2 linked regions of the Anolis sagrei genome follow. The protein of the gene in region 2 binds, or shares a complex with, the protein of the main gene of each other region. Links are inferred from orthologs where the notes say so. Each region holds a gene or a part of one and is shown on either strand. Other genes may lie near its edges.

Region 1 (6,922 bases), on a different chromosome or scaffold from region 2:
ATAGTTCTACTTCAGAAACTTTGTTTTTGTGGCTGCCACAAATTAGGTCAAATTGGTTGAAACTTAAAAATATATTCCTTGAAAAACATAGCAAAAATGTGCTGCAGGAGGTCCGTCTAAAACAAAATATGGGCAGTTTAATAAACTTGCCCCATGTTTTTATGATAGAACCAATTAGGAAACGACATTTATAACCCAGGAACAAAACTGGTGTTGCACAGTGTTATTGGGTTGATTGAGAGTTCTGGATTTTGTTTAATAGTTTCAGTTGTTAGGTTGGATATCTCTTTTGGTTGTTAGAGGTATCAGGCTCGATCTACTCTGCTCTATACCCCAGGTTCTGATCCCAGATTATCTGATTTGAACTGAATTCTATGAGTCTGCACTGCCAAATAATATAATCTGGGATAAGCAGATAATCTGGGATCAGATCCTGGGATATAGGGCAGTGTAGATCCACCCTCTGATCTTACAAGCAGTTTTGTAGTATTATATAGATCATATCATAATTAACAATAATCATATCGTAATTAAAAATAATCACATCATAACTAAAATAATTATAATTAAATATAATTATATATAGAGGGAGGGGGTGAGAGAGCAGCTCATTGGAAGGAAGGATATTAGAGGCAAAGATGAAGTATTTTGGCCACATCATGAGAAGACAGGAAAGCTTAGAGAATACAATTATGCTGGGGAAAATGGAAGGAAAAAGGAAGAGGGGCTGACCAAGGGCACGATGAATGGATGGATGGTACCCTTGAAGTGACTGGCTTGACCTTGAAGGAGCTGGGGGTGGTGATGGCCGACAGGGAGCTCTGGCGTGGGCTGGTCCATGAGGTCACGAAGAGTCGGAAGTGACTGAACGAATGAACAACAACTCTCTCTCTCTCTCTCTACACACCCACCCACACACACACACACATATATGTATCATATCATAATTTTTAATTATGATAATTTTTAATTATATATATATATAGAGAGAGAGAGAGAGAGAGAGAGATGATGTATTGTGATATGATCTAGGTCAGTGGTTCTCAATCTTCCTAATGCCATGACCACTTAATACATTTCCTCATCTTGTGGTGATCCCCAACCATAAAATTATTTTTGTTGCTACTTCATAACTGTAATTTTGCTACCATTATGAATCGTAATATAAATATCTGATATGCAGGATGTATTTTCATTCACTGGACCAAATTATGCACAAATACCCAATACAATCAAATTTAAAAAATGGTGGGGTTGGGGGGATTGATTTTGTCATTTGGGAGTTGTAGTTGCTGGGACTTATAGTTCACCTACAATCAAAGAGCATTCTGAACTCCATCAACAATGGAATAGAACCAAACTTGGCACACAGAACTCCCATGTTGTTGTTGTTGTTCATTCGTTCAGTCGTCTCCGACTCTTCATGACTTCATGGACCAGTCCACGCCAGAGCTCCCTGTCGGCCGTCACCACCCCCAGCTCCTTCAAGGTCCCATGACCAACAGAAAATACTGGAAGGTTTTGACAGGCATTGATCTTGAGTTTTGGAGTTGTAGTTCACCTACATCCAGAGAGCACGGTGGACTCAAACAATGATGGATCCAGACCAAACTTGGTATGAATACTCAAAGTTCCCAAATGTGAACACTGATGGAGTTTGGGGAAAATAGACCTTGACATTTGGGAGTTGTAGTTGCTGGGATTTATAGTTCACCTACAATCAAAGAGCATTCTGGACCCCACCAATGATAAAATTATGCCAAACTTCCCACACAGAGCCTCCATGACCAACAGAAAATACTGTGTTTTCTGATGGTCTTTGGTGACCCCTCTGACACCCCCTCACGACCTCTCCAGGGGTCCCGACCCCCAGGTTGAGAAACACTGATCTAGGTGATATTACAAACCTGCTTGTAGGATCTGAGGCTGGATCTACACTGCCCTATATTCCAGGATCTGATCCCAGATTACCTGTTTATCCCAGATTATCTGGCAGTGTAGACTCATAGAATTCAGTTCAAATCAGATAATCTGGAATCAGAACCTAGGATATAGGACAGTGTAGATCCAGCCTCAGATCTTACAAGCAGTTTTGTAGTATTATCTAAATTATATCCTAATTAAGAATAATCATATCATAATTAATATAATTATAACTAAGTATATATATATATATATATATATATATGAATTTTAATTATGATCTGATCTAGGTGATATTATCAAACTGCTTGTAGGATATGAGGCTGGATCTACACTGCCTTATATTCCAGGATCTGATCCCAGATTATCTGTTTATCCCAGATTATCTGGCAGTGTAGAATTCAGTTCAAATCAGATAATCTGGAATCAGAACTTGGGATATAGGGCAGTGCAGATCCAGCCTAATACCTCTAACAATAAAAAGAGATATCCAACCTAACAACTGAAACTATTAAACAAAAACTAGAACTCTCAAATCAGATAATCTGGAATCAGATTCTGGGATATAGGGCAGTGTAGATCCAGCCTGATACCTCTAACAACCAAAAGTGACATAAATATACATATACATACAAATGCATCCATATAGATCTCAGAAGCAAGCAAGCCCAGGAGAAAAGATAAGGAGGGACACTTGGAGGGAGGAGTAGATCTCTAGACAGAAGGAGCGCCTGAAAGAGGGAGAAAGGCGTGGGGTGGCGAAGGGAGGGGAGGGTGGGAAGAGCCCTTACCTTTGCAGGAGCTGACCCCAAAGGCGAGGAGGAAGAGGAGCAGCCCCCAAGGGGTGCCCGACCCGAGGGGCATCTTCCTGGGGCGGCAAAGGCTTCTCCCGCCCTCCTCCGAGGCTGCCAAGGAAGGCTGGGGTCGCCAACAAGCGCCCGCCCGGCTTTGCATGGTTCCTGGGCACCTCTCTGCCTTTGGCGCGCTTTTTGCCGCCGCTGCTTTCCTCCCGGCTTTGCAACTCCCAGCCAAACAGAGCGGACTTTTAAATCTCCCGGACAGGAGGAGGAGGAGGAAGAGGAGGGCAGAGCTTGGCTCAGAGTCACGCTCTGTCAGAAAGGCAACTGTCTAAACCTGGTCACGCACACACCCTCCAAAGAGTTCTCCTATTTCTCAAATTATTTAGTCACCAGCTCTAGCTAGCAGTTGGTAGGGAAAGGGACTAAACGGCTTTCCCCCATTTTTTTTACCACATATGAGGGTTTTTCACTTCTCCCAATCCCCTTCCTCAAAATATGAAGACTTCCACCTATCTCAACATCTGCCACCAGATGTGAGGGCTTGCATTTATCCCACCTACACCTACCAAATATGAAGGCTTCCACTTATCCCAACCCTTGCCAGCAAACAGGGCTTCTATTTATCCCAAACACAGCTATGAGGGATTCCGTTTCTCCCAACCAAGCTACCAGATGTGAAGGCTTCCATCTAACCCAACCAAGCTACCTCATGCGAGGGCTTCCATTTATCCCAAATACAGCTACCAAATATGAGGGCTTCCATTTCTCTAAACCAAGCTACCAAATGTGAAAGCTTCCATTCAACACAACCAAGCTACCTCATGTGAGGGCTTCCATTTATCCCACACACAGTTACCAAATATGAGGGCTTCCATTTATCCCAACCAAGCTACCAAATGTGAGGGCTTCCATTTGTCCCCAAATAGAGCTACCTCATGTGAGGGCTTCCGTTTATCCCAACCAAGCTATCAAATGGGAAGGCTTCCGTTTAACCCAACTACAGCTACCAAATATGAGGACCTCCATTTCTCCCACCCACAGCTACCAAATGGGAAGGCTTCCATTTAACCTAACCAAGCTACCTCATGTGAGGGTTTCCATTTCTCCAAACCAAGCAACAAAATGTGAAGGCTTCTATCTAACCCAACCAAGCTACCTCATGTGAGGGCTTCCATTTATCCCACACACAGTTACCAAATATGAAAGCTCCCATTTCTCCCAACCAAGCAACCAAGTGTGAGGGCTTCCATTTATCCCAACCAAGCAAACAAATGTGAAGGCTTTCATTTATCCCTACCAAGCTACCAAATGTGAAGGCTTCCATTTAACCAACCAAGCTATCTTGTGAGAGGGCTTCCATTTATTCCAAATACAGCTACCAAATATGAGGGCTTCCATTTCTCCCAACCAAGCAACCAAATGTGAAGGCTTCCATTTAACCCAACCAAGCTACCTCATATGCTGGCTTCCATTTATCCCAAATACAACTACCTCATGTGATGGCTTCAATTTATCCCAAATACACCTACAATATATGAGGGCTTCCATTTCTCCCAACCAAACTACCAAACGTGAGGGGTTCCATTTTATCACCCACAGCTACCAAATGTGAGGGCTTCCATTTATCCCACGCAAACTACCAAATGTGAGGGCTTCCATTTATTCCTCTAAGCCCTTGTGGTTCTGTGTGAGATTTTATTTATCTTCTTTTTCCACTGGGCACCCCACTCTTGATTCTGAACTGCCACCATAGACACCTTGTCTGAACTTGGCTTTCCAAGAGACCAAAGCATTTCATGCAAAAAGATGTATTTATCAGAAATCGAACATGAGATTAGATTTGTTTTTAATGCATCGAAATGACATATTTCCCTCTCATACACATCTCCTTGCTAAGTCTGACTCTGAGTCTTAGTTCTCTTCTATCTCAGATCCTAACTTATAATCATTCACATTCTGCATCCCACTAACTAATTTCTAATACTGACAGACCCAATTCTCACCAGACTAACAACCATATGCATCTTCACTTTTACAATCCCCTCAGAAAACCAGCTGATCACAAGTCCCAATAATCCATGCCTCACATGGAACATTCCATGCCTGACAGATCACCAAATTATTCCATCTACAACATGAATACACAACCATGTTTTACATTAATGCAGCAAACAAATGTAATAACAAAGAACTAATTCAGAAGATCACAGGGTTAACACCTGAGTCTGGAAGTTAACCATCCCCAAAACTGGATTGAAGGTTACAATATCATGAAAAGAGCTGTTGGTCCCATCAGTCTTTTGTGACTAGCACATGTAGTGTAGCAAGCATGGAACAAGGTGATGAATCCTCAGGTGGCAAAACAGACCTTGGTTCTTCAATACCTATTCAGTGCTCTACGAGAGAATGTGCACTAGAAAAAATGATTCTATTTCTCTTTCAGTTCAATTATGTGATAGTTTTCTGCTTGCAAGGAGATTCATTTCCCAGGGATGAACATTTTAAAAATGTCATTCTGATATGATCCAGGATTATTGCATCATTCAATGTTATGTGTAGACCAGACTTCCCAAGCAGAAGGTGGTAGAGATGCTCCAGGTGAGAAATTTCTTCCATTTCTATATTCATTTGCTTCAGAGATTTCCTCTTTCATCGTCCCTTATCAGCATATCCAATTGTAACAAATGCTAAGAGCTGCAGTCTAGCAACATGTGGAGGGACCCCATAGATCACCCCTGATTTACTGTATTCCTATTCATAAAGACTCCATCTGTGCGCACATTTCAGCCACCCCATCCCAGTTGTTCTCCAGGTTTGTTGGACTAGAGAGGTGGTTTCCAACCTTTGGTCATCCAGTTATTCTGTACTTCAACTCCCAGAAATCCCAGCCAGTTTACCAGCTGTTAGGAATTGTGGGAACTGAAGTCCAAAATACCCGGAGGTCCAAAGGTTGGGAACCACTGGACTAGAGCTTCCCTAAATTTGCAGTCACCTAAGGAGCTGTCTGGGGGTTTATGGAAATTGGTGTTCAAGACACATATGAAGAAGATCCTCAAAAAATCCGTTCCTGTTATGGATATAAAAATTCTGGTGTTGTATGCAAATACCTATATGTTTCTACAAGGGAGAACAGATTGGACATTAGGATTTTAATAGGGAAAAGACAGGAAGAAACACTGAAATCTCTTGCACAACTCTGCAGTCCTTCCTATAATTCTCTCTGGCCCATTTTATAGCTACTATTAAACTTTTTCTTTAAAAAAATCTTTTGATGTCACATCTAGTTTAGCCCTAAGCAAGTTGTGGGTGTAGGTTGCATTGAACATAGTGAGACATACTTCTAAAAATGGGCATAAGTTTGGGATTCATGAAAAGTGTCTTTGGGGAAGGTTTGCAAAGAGTAAGCATCCGAAATTACATGTAAAAAGTTATATATTCACACGCACACCCCAACATTGGATCCTAACTTATGAAAGGAAATGAAAAGCATCATAGTGAAAGATAGTTCCAGAGATCCCCATCAGTCATTACTAATCAGAGTAGACATCAAAGGCCTGGAGAAACAATTCTGAGCTAGTTGGACTCAGTATCAGTTTTACAGAATTAGCCCAAGTAAGGAAGTTGTTGTGAGCCCAAATTTTGGCAGTAACCAAGTCAGAGACTATGAGAGGCTACTGGTTTGCATTTTTATTAATGTACTTTTTATTTTAAAACTAATTTTAAAATTAATTTACTGTGTAATTACAATATGTATTATTTATATGTAACGGCATCCAATTGTGCCAGATGTAAGCCGCCCTGAGTCCGTCCCCCCCCCGGAGGGGGGGAGGGTTGAGAAGGGCAGGGTACAAATGTTTGAAATAAATAATAAACAATAAATTAATTAAGCAATGAACCAGAGAATTCCGAATCTAAAACATCAAAGATCCCCAAATCTGAAATTATCATGGCTCCTAAGCAATTGTAGCCTTAAAATCAATTTCCATTGAGAGGCAAGCATGCCACTAAGCCAGAGTGACAACATGAGATGGCAAAGTTGTAGATGTCAGGCCAAAATACTTACTTTAAGGCTTTGCATTCTATGTTTACCTGCTGAAAGATGTCAAATACAATGAATAGGAAAGGACTTCTGTTGATACAGTTGCATTCATTAGAGACACTGTCCAGGGTCCTGAAAAGCTTGCTGCTCTGTTTTTAGG
Region 2 (7,644 bases):
TCCCTCCGCTTTCCCCCTCCATCACATGATTAGGTCCTAAATGTATGCTGTTTGTTTACTTCTATTATACATGCCATTGCCTTCATCATTATTTTATACCAATGCTGAAAAATGTATTGTACATTGCCTAAGCTGATGTTGATGATTTTGCTCATGATCTAACTGAATCAGAAGTTAGAGTGTTAGCAACCCTCAACATTTATTTTATATCAATGTCCATATAAAATGAACCATAAGCAGTAATTTCAGCTCTTGACAATTTTCCCAATTGTTCATCCTAATTTTGAAACTAGGAATAGACAATATGCTTTGAAACCAGCTGTGAGCTAGAACACAAGAGGCCACTTGCATAATTTAGCTGTACAAAATGCATTTATTATTCCTTGCTTTTATCTGGAGGCTTTTTTGGGATTCCCAACCAAGTATTCAGTAGGTACACATCTGCTTAGCGGCAGTATATTGAATGAAACATTAAAATTGCACAAAGACAGTAGGAAGAATCGTATCATAGGCTATAACAATAAGATAATTTCCAATTTTAAAAACAAGTATAGAAAGCTAACATTCTGATTTCAACCAATTTACAAAATAAATTGTTTCTTAATATTTTGGCTATGAAACCCTGTCAACTGTGATCTCTGTTACTAGTCTTGCTGGAGTGGAACTTAAGGTTGTAGTAAACAAGTTTGCTAATTGTCATGTGTACTTACTGAAACCCACGATTTACTGAATTCAGAATATACTACATACTGCCAACTCTGAGCCTCATTACACCCACTCAGAAATAACAAGGAGACACATCTGATGAAGTGAACATGAACTACATGTTATTAGCTATTTGCAGATCCCAAGCCAACAGAGGAGCCTCCCTAGCACAGAAGAAATTATTGAAGCCGAAGATATTGTAAAAACCTCCCCAACTCATTAAAGCAGTAAGACATCAAGGTCCACTGTCATACATTGTTTGTCATGCTATGTCAATAACCAGTCATTTCAATGGGTGGGTCTGTCATGCCTCCCATCTTTGTGTGCAGAGATTTCTGCAGATCTCACACCAAGGCCCATTCCACTTCTCTTCCCAGCACCCTACATAACCCTAGGTGCCAGTCTAGCAACCAACTTTTCACCAAAGTCCCTAATTCCTTCCTCTAGTAGATCGCTAATTCAGCCAACTATCTGACAAAGTCTCCAGCTGGCCTCTAGGAACTGATTATGTTACAAGAAGAAAGCTTTACTCAGAGCAGGGATGAGACACTATCAGGTTTTATTAGGCCACATTAATATCCACTAGGGTTATGCAATTCAGCTGGACCGTGATCTGTTTTTCGGGGAGTGTGACCCTGCTGTTTCTCTTAGACATCTCAGCGGCTTTCGATACCGTCGACCATGGTATCCTTCTGGGACAACTCGCCGGGATGGGACTTGGGGGCACAGTTTTGCCATGGCTCTGGTTCTTTCAGTTGGTGAAGATGGGGGACACCTGTTCAGACCCCTGACCATTGATCTGTGGAGTCCCACAAGGTTCCATTCTGCCCCCCCCCCCCCATGCTTTTTAACTTCTACATGAAACCGCTGGGAGAGGTCATCCAGAGTTTTGGAGCTTGGGGCCATCTCTATGCAAATGACACCCAACTCCACTACTCTTTTCCATCAGAATCCAAGGAAGCCCCTCAGGTGCTGAACCAGTGCCTGACTGCTGTGATGATCTGGATGATGATGAATAGACTGAAGATCAATCCTGACAAGACAGAGGTCCTCCAGGCAGTTGTACATCTGACTGGGGTATTCTATGGCAACCTGCGCTTGACGGGGTTGCACTCCCCCTGAAGACACAGGTCCGCAGCTTGGGGGTCCTCCTAGATTCAGCACTGACATTTGATGCGCAGGTGTCGGCGGTGGCTGGGAGGGCCTTCACACAATTAAAACTCGTGCACCAGCTGCGACCATACCTCATGAAGTCTGACTTGATGTCACGTTGCTAGGGCTCTACCTTGTTTAGGTAGAGATTAATCAGAACTCCCAGTTTTAACAAACAGTTTAATTAAAACAGCACTTACTTGCTGGCTGTTTTTGTAGTCCAAAATATAAAACACAAAGATAGCACGCAGCCACAGAATAAACAAAAACTGATAGAAAAAATAACTTTGTAGTCAAAAGGGTCCAGTCCAATTGTCAAATGCCGAGAGTTCAATAAACAAAGTCCAGGGATTAAGAGTCTATACCGTAGTCAAAAGCCAGTCCAAAGGTTCAAGGTTCCAGGATTCCAAGGTTACAGGAGACAGGTCAGGATACCGAAAAATCTAACAGACCTGGGGGAAAAACGAACAGCATCCACCACCAAAATACAACAGATACTTTTTCTCCCAAAGATCAGTCCCAAGGCTAGTTCCTTATATCCAGAAACACCCAGCTGCAACCCATCTCTTGCTTACCTCCACCCTTAATTGCTTTCACCCATGAACTCCCACTTACAGATCACCAAACCCTCTAGAACTAATACTCACATTAACCCTTCCATCACCAACCACCATCAACTGCAGACCATATGACACTTGACCATGGTGGTCCATTCCTTAGTTACCTCTAGACTGGACTATTGCAATGCACTCTACATGGGGCTTCCCTTGGAGATGGCCCGGAAACTTCAATTGGTCCACCGTTCAGCAGCCAGATTAATAACTGGGGCAAATTACAGGGAGCGGTCAAGGTGCAGGTTATTACCTATAAAGCCCTGAACGGTTTGGGACCCTTGTACCTTCATGACCGCATCTCCTACCACCAACCTGCATGATCCCTCTGATCCTTTGGTGAGGCCCTCCTTTCACTCCTTCCTCTATCACAGGCAAGACTTGTGGGAACGAGGGAGAAAGCCTTCTCCACTGTGACCCCCGACTATGGAACTCACTACCTGGTGAGATGAGGCAAGACCCCACCTTAGTAGCCTTCAAGAAAAATTTGAAAACTTGGCTCTTCCAATATGCCTTTGGAGAGTAACCATTTGTTCCATCTACAGTGTTGTCCTATGATGCACTTTCCCCCATCCTAAACTAAAAACCTAAACCCACTGTTCATCCTTTTTGGGCTCCTCTAAATCACATTTTTCTATTTCTACCTCATCCAGGGTTTTATCATTTTACCTCATCCATTTGGCTTGCCCATTGTGTTTGATTTTACATTATGTCAATTTGATTTATTAATTTTATTTTGCTACTGTATGTATTTTATTCTGATGTATTTTTGTTGTCCGCATTATGCATTTTATTTTGCTGTAATGTACCTTTGGGCTTGGCCTCATGTTAGCTGCCCTGAGTCCCCTTTGGGGAGATGGTGGTGGGGTATAAATAAAAATTGTTATTCTTATTATTCTTATTCTTCTTCTTATTATTATTATTATTTTACAAGAAGAGGACTTTCCATAGGCAGAGACGGAAAACTGTCAGGTTTTGACTGGACATAGCAGATCAAACACATTGCTGCCTCCAATCCCATTTCTCCTTTGGTACCTGAGTTTTACTGATAGGAACTTTTTTTTACCCCTTTTGTTACTTGTTTTGTGCTTTCAAGTCATTTCTGATGTATGGTGAGTCTAAGTTCATATAGTTCTCTTAGTGAGTTTTGTTCAGAAGGAGTCCACCTATGGGCTGAAAATGTTTGACTTTTCCAAGGTCACCCAACAGGTTTCCATGGCAGAGTATGGATTTGGACCCTGATCTCTAAAGCTGTAGTCCAATGCTCAAAGATCTGCATCATGCTGGCTCCCTGTCATACTTTATTGCATTGCAAATGATGAAATGTATAATTCATTAAACCATTCAGACACAACATACCAGAGCAATTCTTGGCATTTGGGAAAAGTGCTATTTTAATGTGAGGTTTTTCATTTCCAATTTGAGTTTGCTTTATTAAAAAACCACCTGTTTTTACAGGATGATTGCTTCTTCAGATCTGTGGTATTGTAGTGAATTTCCATTTTCATGCATGTATTGCAAATATTAAAAAACTAGCAATATAAAATACGTATTACTGTTCAAAGTAATACATATTAGAAAAAACTATTCCATTGCTATTTTTGTTTGCTGTACAATACACAACATTCAAACCCATAGAGGCAGTTTGCAAACAGAACACAAGGCAGTGTTCTGTTTGCACTCACTGCACTCAACAGTGTGCTGTTTGCACTGTTTGTGATGTGTACTCACAGGCTTCCAGCAAGAAAAAAAATCATATTAGAATAACTTTTGATTCAGCTTTTAAACTCAGCCTGCATCACCTCAATCCCTGGTTTCTCAGTCTCTAATAAGGATCAGAATTTTGTAGACATCTTAGATTAAAGGTTTTGGAAAGAAGTCTCCATTCTCCTCACCTATACCAACTGCTCAGTATATATCTCTCTCTTGAGAACACTGATGCAAGTAGCCAAGACCAGCTCAATCATCGTATAATTTTATTCATGTAGCTAGCCAATGAGTATATGTGAAAGGAGGAGCTTGCTGTTGAAAGGACTCTTTAGGGGGATGATTGTAATAGCAAAGGCAGACATACACATGAACAGACACACACGCACTTCTCTCAGTGCTTTTAAGCTTCAAATCTGAAAGGACATTCTCTGGCTTTTGTTCCCCCTGCCTCTTTTTCCTTCCTCCTCTCCCTGTCTCTCCCTCTCCCTCCTATTTCTGTTTCGAATAGAGAGCAATCTGAAACAAGCACATCTCAGACAACCTAAGTGAAATTGGACCTATACAAGTACCTACAATGGATTGGATGAACATCTCCCGGTGTCCTCACCAAAGGGAAGAAGAAATAGAGCCTGTAAGGAGATACTTCAATAGCACCGAGGAGTATCTTGCCTTTTTATATGGACCCAAACGGAGCCCTGTCTTCCTACCTATGTCTTGGGTTTATGCTATGATTTTCATAGTTGGAGTGTCCGGCAACCTTTTAGTGTGCCTTGTGATTCTTAAGCACCGAAACATGAAGACTCCCACTAACTACTATCTCTTCAGTCTTGCTATTTCAGACTTGTTGCTCTTGCTCTTGGGAATGCCTTTGGAAATCTATGAAATGTGGAGCAACTACCCCTTCTTGTTTGGACCAGTTGGGTGCTATTTTAAGACAGCCCTCTTTGAGACTGTATGCTTTGCCTCCATTCTGAATGTCACAACAGTGAGTGTGGAGAGATATATTGCCATCCTTCATCCCTTCCGGGCCAAACTGAAGAGCACAAGGCGACGTGCTTTGAGGATCATTATTGCCCTATGGCTCCTGTCCATCCTTTTCTCTCTCCCCAACACCAGCACCCACGGCATTGTGCAGCAGTTTTTTCCAAACCACACAGAGGTCCCAGCCTCTGAGACATGTGCTGTGGTCAAGCCCATGTGGATCTACAACTGCATCATCCAGCTGACATCTTTTCTCTTTTATGTCCTGCCGATGAGTGTCATCAGTGTGCTGTACTGCCTGATGGGGTTGAAAGTGAGTCCTGACTAAAATATGTGAAGTTTTCTCTCATAATCCATGGCATTTTATATCATGTCAATCAGAGTTTGGAAAGAAAGGTTTTCATTTTTTTAAACAGACTTCCCAGAATTCCCCAGCCAACAGTGGTCATGCTGTCTGAGGAATTCTAGAGTAGTAGATCCAAAAATTCCTAAAACTCTCTCTCTCTCTCTGTGTGTGTGTGTATATATCTATATCTATATCTATATTGTGTTGACATGTTAAATTGATGTTTCATTCCCACCCCACCCCCCTCACTCATGTTCCATAATTTTTATTTAGTGTACTATGTGCATTTCTTAGCTTCTACATCCCTCCAAGTCCAAATATGAATAAGACCCACTGGAAAATTATTCCAGGCACCAGCTTTTTCAATCTGTTTATACTATGACTCAATTACAAATTTAGTTTGTACTCTAGCATATTTCTTCGGGTTTCAATATTCTTTATTAATTTTCAATTATAACATCGAAAGAGGGGGAACAATACTTGAGAAAAGGAAAGCTTGGAAATACTAAGATATTGGGCCAAAGGTGTGGTAGAAGACATGAGGGTAGTAGTGGGGGGAAAGGAAAGGGGGGTCAGGGAGGGGGTTAAGGAGGGATGTGTTGCTGGTCACTTCCGTTTGAGTCACAGAGGGGTAGTATATTATGAGGAAAGTCAATTTACGGTTATTGGTTTAAATTCCGAAAGGGAACATGGGATAAATTCCCTATTTTCTGTTATTTATATAAGTTATCCTTATTATTGTTAGTCTATTATTTCTGAATGTTCTTTAAGTATTCCTTACATTGGTTCCAGTTGGTCATGGTTTCCTTATTCTCATTTTTCATTAAGCACGAAAGTCTATCCAAATCCATGAATTCTATAATTTTTTTGATCCATTCGTCGGCCGTGGGGGTTTCTTTGGTTTTCCACTTTTGGGCTATTAGTATCCTGGCTCCCGAAGCAAGGTAGAAGAATATTTTTTCCTCATTTTTGTTCAAGCAGAGGTCTGTTATGTTAAGTAAATAGTGTTCCGGCTTCATTGTTAGACTTGTTTTAATTATCTTTTGTGTGTGTTTATGGATAGCTTGCCAGAATTTTTGAATTTCCTTGCAGTCCCAGAACATGTGATAGTAAGTTCCTTTCTCTCTCCTACATTTCCAACATAGATTGTTCTGGTTTTTATTGATCTTAGATAGCAAAGCTGGTGTTAAATGCCATCTGTAGAACATTTTGTAGGAGTTTTCTATGATGGTAGTAGCTTTAGTAAATTTGTTGGTCTTTTTCCAGGCTAACTCCCATTCTCTGAGTCTTATAGATCTTCCCAAGTCTTTCGCCCATTTGATCATAGTTTCTTTTATCAATTCTTGTTCATTACTCCATTCGAGCAGGCATCTATATAATGTCGTAATCACCTTTTTCTCTTTTTTCATTACTTTTTCCCATACAGTTTCAGACGCATTGAATCCTTTTTTACAATCTTCCTTGTAGCATTCTTTTGCTTGTAAGTAGTGGAACCAACCTACTTCCTCTTCCGACTCCCTAAGCTCGTCCATAGATTTGAGACACCAATGATTATGTTCTTTCTTTAATAATTGGTGATAGTTCAACCATTTGTTTCTGGGTAGTTCTTTCTTGTGGAAGGCCTCCGATGGCGACACCCACATGGGTGTTTTCGTATAAAAATAATTTTTATATTTTTTCCATACCTTTAGGAGCGCTGATCTGATATAATGATTATTAAATGATCTTTCTACTTTGTCTTTCTCATACCAAAGGTATGCGTGCCATCCCCTTCTCGTATCCCAGCCTTCCAGAGTAAGAATCCTCTTGGGCTCTAGTGAAGCCCATGCCACAGTCCAGGATAAGGCGCATGCCTCAAAGTACAGCAATAGGTCCGGCATTGCCAGACCACCTCTGCTTTTCGAATCAGTAAGGGTTTTAAATTTGACCCTGGGTTTCTTCCCATCCCAGACGAAACTCAGAATATCTTTGTTCCATTTCTTGAAGCATGTGTTGTTTTTAATGATCGGTAACGTCTGGAATAGGAAGATCATCCTAGGTAACACACTCATTTTAATAACCGAGATTCTCCCTAGCCAGGAGAGGTTGAGATATTTCCAGTTTTTAATTTTCTTTCGAACGCTTTCCCATGTCTTCTCG

The links. The genes of interacting proteins can lie anywhere in the genome.
Region 1: the proteins of NMUR2 (region 2) and NMU are in contact, whole or in part, in a cryo-EM structure (PDB 7XK8), measured with the Homo sapiens proteins. The link is inferred for Anolis sagrei from reciprocal best matches to the Homo sapiens genes NMUR2 and NMU. Residues at the interface, in NP_064552.3 of Homo sapiens: Ser42, His43, Gly98, Glu102, Glu105, Met106, Trp107, Arg108, Asn109, Tyr110, Pro111, Thr123, Phe126, Glu127, Asn181, His185, Pro199, Ser201, Thr203, Cys204, Val206, Tyr213, Phe284, Arg288, Phe291, Glu295, Trp297, Ser298, Glu299, Ala302; in NP_006672.1 of Homo sapiens: Glu146, Phe152, Ala153, Ser154, Gln155, Gly158, Tyr159, Phe160, Leu161, Phe162, Arg163, Pro164, Arg165, Asn166.

What each region holds. Positions count from the first base shown.
Region 1 is NC_090025.1:73,560,657-73,567,578, reverse strand, and holds the start of NMU (neuromedin-U), read right to left. Parts: upstream 3,008-6,922; 5' UTR 2,878-3,007; coding exon 2,715-2,877; intron 1-2,714.
Region 2 is NC_090022.1:83,702,551-83,710,194, forward strand, and holds the start of NMUR2 (neuromedin-U receptor 2), read left to right. Parts: upstream 1-4,539; 5' UTR 4,540-4,752; coding exon 4,753-5,472; intron 5,473-7,644. UniProt on the Homo sapiens protein: Receptor for the neuromedin-U and neuromedin-S neuropeptides.